2 linked regions of the Oryctolagus cuniculus genome follow. The protein of the gene in region 1 interacts with the protein of each later gene in a pairwise test. Links are inferred from orthologs where the notes say so. Each region holds a gene or a part of one and is shown in the gene's direction. Other genes may lie near its edges.

Evidence for each region. The genes of interacting proteins can lie anywhere in the genome.
Region 2: the proteins of THAP1 (region 1) and tripartite motif-containing protein 26 interact in binary tests that used the Homo sapiens proteins (3 or more experiments, as listed by UniProt). The two-hybrid records come from large-scale screens. The link is inferred for Oryctolagus cuniculus from reciprocal best matches to the Homo sapiens genes THAP1 and TRIM26.

What each region holds. Positions count from the first base shown.
Region 1 is NC_091433.1:92,915,023-92,917,426, reverse strand, and holds the end of THAP1 (THAP domain-containing protein 1), read left to right. Parts: intron 1-201; coding exon 202-576; 3' UTR 577-1,792; downstream 1,793-2,404. UniProt on the Homo sapiens protein: DNA-binding transcription regulator that regulates endothelial cell proliferation and G1/S cell-cycle progression.
Region 2 is NC_091436.1:140,249,569-140,253,323, forward strand, and holds the start of tripartite motif-containing protein 26, read left to right. Parts: upstream 1-1,551; 5' UTR 1,552-1,709; intron 1,710-3,755.

The sequences.
Region 1 (2,404 bases):
TTGGTATTTAAATGTGTCACCATTTTCTCTCTTTCTTGCTTACCATTTCTCCTTAAGTTGGAAAGTTTATTTCAGAAGGAAACTACTTGGATGTTTCTGTGCCACAGAATCACAAAAACGTCTTATTTCCTAACTTCCACAGATGAGTTGTTTTGCACTGTCATTTACTAAGTTCAGACATGCTGTTCTTCATTGTTCTAGAAGGAAGATGTGCTGGGCTCACAGGAGCAGCTGCCTCCAGCTCCTTTAACACCGCCCATCTCCCAGATGGATGCTGCTATTGGGTTGCTGATGCCTCCTCTGCAGACCCCTGACAACCTCTCGGTTTTCTGTGACCACAACTACACCGTGGAGGACACGATGCACCAGAGGAAAAGGATTCAGCAACTGGAACAGCAGGTCGAGAAACTCAGGAAGAAGCTCAAGACGGCACAGCAGCGATGCAGAAGACAAGAGCGGCAGCTTGAAAAGCTGAGGGAGGTCGTGCACTTCCAGAAGGAGAGAGACGACTCGTCGGAGAGAGGCTACGTGATTCTGCCAAGTGACTGCTTTGAGATAGTGGAAGTGCCGGCATGAGCAAGAGACATGCGTTGAGTTTTTAATGGGGCAACACCACACACCCTCTTTTAGCCTGTAAAGGAGTTTCCTTTGAAAAAAATAACACTTGATTATTTGTATAAAAGCAATTCAGAATATTTTTTTAAAAAAATAAATTAGATATATACTGTAAAATTGTAAGGTTTTTGTTTGTAATTTCAGGGTTTTTACATTTTAACAAAATATCTTTGAAGTTATAAACTAGCCTCAAACTGCCAATGTAAGTTGGTTTCAATATTGGGGATTTTTGTTTTCTAGAATATTTATAGAAATAATGTAAAAGTAAAAAAAATGAGAACAGTGCAGTAAGTTTTAAGTTTAAAAGTTAAAATTCATGCTGTTTATTGAGAAATTTAGTTATATTTTAAATCAAGAAGGATCAGATCACGGGCATAACGTCAAAAGATATATAAGTATATACATACCTATACTCACAGATTCTTACAGGTGAAGTCAGGAGGTTTCATTTACCATTCTGAGTCAGTTGTCAAATCAGCAAGTCAGTACTTGAAAAGACTTGAGTGTCTTTGCAGCAGAAAATGAACATCTACTTAATAAGTAACTTTATGAAGAACAGATTTTTTTAAAGTAGGCCTGTCTTTTTTCCCCACTGTTAAGCTAGAAGTGTGTCTTCAGTGAAGGAAAAATCCTTCAGTAAACAAAATGAGGCTTTGTTGTCAGTGAGTAGTAAAAGCTAGGGCCTGACCACGACGCTTGTTTCTGTAATGACCCCTAGGTAAAGGACAGCCAGCTCCCTCCTGAGGTGATATCTGTGTCCAAAGCTTTAACAAATGTGGTACTAGAGTTTGGTTTGTTTATATTAATTTTTCAGTAACATTGATTTTAGCCAAAACTTCACCAAAAAAATCATTTCTTCTAACAAGTTAGAAATTGTACCCCGTTTATCTGAATGAGTGATTTGTATTCAGAAGCAGCCTCATGTATGATGTTTATTTGCTGAATGTTGAGATTTAAACACTGAGGTTTCTGTTCAGACTGTGAGTTGTGTTCTGACTTTGTGAGAAATTTTACATATATTTGAAATGGAAATATGTTCTGAGTAAACAAATACTGCTAATAGAAGTAACCTACTTAGATTTAGAATAACTATTCCAACTCTGTCACTTTTATAAATGCACTGAGGTAGTTGAAGAGTAACAGACCTTTCAAGACAGTATTAAAATGTGGAACCATTTTGTGTCTTTTGTAGACCTCGTTTTCATTGTAATTCACTGCCACACTGCCATGGATAGTACTTTGATTCCTGATATTTTAGGAACCAGTGTCTCAAAATAGGAAATAATGATAAGAAGATTACGTGAAGTCACATAGTCTACTAGCAACATTTAGAACTAACTCAGTTGAATGCATGTTCACTGGTTATTTATGGAACTCGTAGCTGTTCATCTCTCTAGCAATTTCTGGAAGATACATGGGTAGATACTTTGCCAAGTATTTGTCTTCAACCTAAATTTTTGTCTTTCTACATGAAAGATTGTGTGTGTGTGTGTGTGTGTCCCCAGAACTGAGAATCCAGATTAGGATATAAAAGTATTAATCATAATTAGCATCTTAGACTTATTATTTAATCTGGAACTGCTTTCTTTTCATAACAGACTTAATTTTTCACTTGGAGAGAACTGAACAAGCAGCATGCACACCAACTGCTTCCGTTTAAATAATTTATCATAATTTAGCATAAGGAATTTGAGGTGCAGGCGCTTTTTTGTGATTCGAGATGTAACATTTGTTGAGTGTTTTAAAATTCATTTGATGTATTTTATTGTTTGTAACATTGCCAAGGAAA
Region 2 (3,755 bases), on another chromosome or scaffold:
CTGTGTCAGTAGGTCTCTCACTTTCAATAAGTCTCGCTTTGCTCACTGCCCCCTGTCCATGTGGAAATTCTTCTTCGCCATGAGACAAGAACTGAGATCACCTTCACCGTTTTGCAACACCAGCAGCTGGAGAGGCGAGTACCACCCTGTGCTGCCTCTGAGCACAAAGCAAGCTTAGGAGTCACTTGCATTCCCAGCATCCACTTCTGTTGCCCTTACTTGGACCCGAGAAGCTGCGTCAACCAGACATAGTGTTCTGGGCAAGGGAATAGCAAGGCTGAGGCCAGCATTCAGAAACGCCCACGCTGAGTTCATTCACTCAACATTCATTCATTGAGTGACAACCACGGCTAAGGAACACGGGTGATGTTTCAACTTCCATGCTGCTTAGGAGGATGGAAAATAAACATGCTCACAAAGGAATAAACAAGATGCTTTGAAAGCTGACAGCTGTATGCAGAAAGTAAATCAAAACACGACGGGGGGCCTGATGTAGACTGGGTGATGGAGGAAGGGCTGACAGGTCAGTTGAGCAGGTGCATGGCTGACAAGAAGGAGGCTCTGGGACCAGGGTGGCTCAAAGCTCCCCGAGGGAGTGGTGGCAGGCGGGAGTCAGAGAGCCTCCACAGGCTTTCCGGGGGCCCTTCGGGCACCTTCCGTGTCCCTCTAAGGGTGTGGGGAAGACAGCGGAGAAGTGTAAGCGGGGCAGGGGAGGAAGGCCCGGTGAACGAAGCGCCACGGCTGCAGTGTGACAGAACGGCCTGTAGGTGGGGCAAGCACCGGCGGAGAGCCGCTTAGCAGCACACACTTTCTTCCACCACAGCAACTACAGAACAGGTTCTAAAACGTGCCGAGGCCACCGTCAGGGCGGTGCCAGGCGGTGAGGGCGCCGGGGACGCGGAGCCTCCTGGAAACCGCCCTCCCACACACCACGGGCGCTCTGGCGCGGGAAGGCCCCCCAGGCTTTCGGAGCCTCGGCTTTCCTTTCTGTCAGATGGGGGCAATGCTTGCCTTCAGGCCATTTTGCCTCAGGCGCCTCATTCGTCACGGGCGCTTCAGAGGTGGTTAATTTTTGTAAACAGGCCCAAGAGACTATTCGCTGGCGAAGATGCTACCTTGTTCTGGAAGCAAATTGAGGCCGCTCTGGGGATGGGGGTGGGAGGATATTTAATATTAAGCACCTGGCGAAGGTTACGTGACCTCAAAATGCACTCCGACTCGGATCCAGCACTGGGTGGGGATCGCGAGAGTAGCTGGGGGTCTCGGGAGGAGGGGAGGGAATCTAGCACCCCAGAGTCCCAAGCAGGGGTCTCATTAGGCCTCCGAATCTGGCTCCCTCCAAGCCTGTAACGGCACCGGCCTTCCGCTTCAAACTCCGGCGGCGGCTCCGGCGCAGCCCCGCCCCGCCGGATTTCGGTTTCCTTTTCGCGAGTCCTGCCGCTCCACCCCCCCGCAACCGCCTGGGGATTTGCCCAGTGATCAGTGACGTAGGGGAGACCGAGGTGCCCATTGGCAGACGGAGTTCGGCAGCGACCAATCCCAGGGCCGCTCGGGAAAAATCTCGGTGGAAGGCCTCGAAGAGCCGGGAGATTACGGGGCGGGGACGAGCTGTCTCGCTCGGGGGCTCGTGGAGGAGCGGGACCCCGAACGTACCGGCGCGGGAGAGAGGCGACCCCAGCCCCGGATTCGCGACCCGGAGCTCGGGACTGGTGAGTGGCGGCCTCCGATGAGAACTGCCGCGAGGCGGCGGTCTGACCAGCGCGGCTCAGGGCCGGGCGGCCGCTGGGCCCCGGGGCGGAGCGGGGCCAGGCCGCCCGGCGGGCTGGGGCGCGGGCCGGACCCGCCGCCACCTCCCCGCCGGCCCAAGCCCTGCCGCTTCGCCCGCCCCTGCATCTGCGGGTCCCTCCCGGGCCTTTCTGCTTCCCAGGGCTCAGTGTGGGCGCGTATGCGTTCCAGTCCCCACAGCCAGAAGTCAGCGGGGCCCGGATGGCGGTCTGGTTGCTCGGAGCCGGGTAGAGACGCGGCCAATCCGGCTCCGTGGTCAGAGTCAGGTTTTCTTGCCTTTCCTTCCTTTTTCTGTTTCGTCAGAATAAACCGGTTTAGCCACATAGGCTTGAGAGCTGCGAATTCTCTCTCTGACCTTAGAAATAAGTGCATGAATTTAACTTTGTGGAGTAAGCGAGAGGCAGACACTTCCAAATAACCAGTAGGTTCCAGTGTCTGACACTGCAACCAGTCGTGTGTGTTTGAAGAGAGGGGAGAGTGACATTGGTTCAAGCATACCCGAACCTTCTGTTTAACTGCTGGCTTAAATCATAAACCCTAGCATATTTAACCCCCAAGTTTTAAAGAAATTACCTCTTAGAAAAAAATGGACATTTTTTATGGTCTTCAAATTGCAATTTTTAAAAATAGAGTATTTTATTAAACATTGACTTTATTTTTATAGCAGTTTTTGGATTTTAGGAAAATTGAAAAGACAGTACAGAGTTCCCATATAAAGTATCGACGACTCTTGCCCCTGTTAGCAGCATCTTGCATCAGTGTGGTGCATTTGTTGCAATTAATGGACCAATGACCATTATTACTGACCAGAGTCCTCAGTGAATTCGTATTTCCTTAGTTTTTTTTTTTTTTTTCTTAAAAAGCACTTTTTCTGTTTCGTGAGCCTGTCCAGGTTGCCACTTTATGTTCAGTTCTGCATCTCCTCATGTTCATTTTGGTTGTGGCAGTTTCTCAGACTTTGTTTTGATGACCTTGACAGTTTGATCATGTAGATTGTAGATGGAATTTGTCTGAATTTTTTTTCCCTAAGACTTTGCTTCATGAGGTGTAGAGGAGGAATACCACAGAGGCAGTTTGCCGTTTTCCCCAGGTCATATCAGGGGTACACACCATCAGCATGACTTAGGGCTTGATGTTGGACTTGGTCACCTGGATGCAAGAATGAAGGGTTCCCCCCTCTTGCATACTGTACTCTTAGAATGAAGCCACTGTGTGCAGCTCCCACCTTAGGAGTAGGAGCTGTGCTCTCCTCCTTGAGGGCTGTGTCCACATACATTATTAGGCATTATCCTGGTGGGAGATTGGTCTCCTTCTTCCGTGTTTATTAACTTATTCACTCATTTATATGAGTGTGGACTCATGGGTTATAATCCCATACTGCTTTATTTTGCTAGGCGAAATGTTGTCGATGAGTCCATTGGGGTTTTTTTCAGGTTGGCTCCTATGCTTATGCTAGCATGTGTTTTCCTAGAGCCTTTTTCTGTTGAAACACTTAACGATTGTACGACCTCACCTTGAACTTCAAACAGCCTGGTAAATTTGGCAAAACATTTTCTCCTTGTTAGTAGGCAAGGAAACTGAGGCCCAGGGGCAGTAGACGCCACTTCCTCCAAGGAGTAACAGGATGGACTCAGTTTAGCTGCCACCCCCCTCAGAAAAGAGCCTGTGGTTAGAATTGAGGTTTTGGGGAGTGACTGAGAGACACAGGCTCTCAGGATCTGAATGGAGATGACATGGAGGATGACTGGAAGCTGACTGTTGTTTTTGAAAAGAGAAGTTTGCTTTAGCTAACATCCAGGATGAATTAGAACTGCCAGCTTGGTTGAAATGGAATATTAATGTCCCCCCCCCCCCCCCCGCAAAAAAAAAAAGTTGTGTATGTAGAGAAAGGTTCAGGGAGATCTGGGTAACAGCATTTGTGGCCGGGGAAGGGAGTGTGGTGAAAGAGCGGAGAACGGAGGAGAATCAGA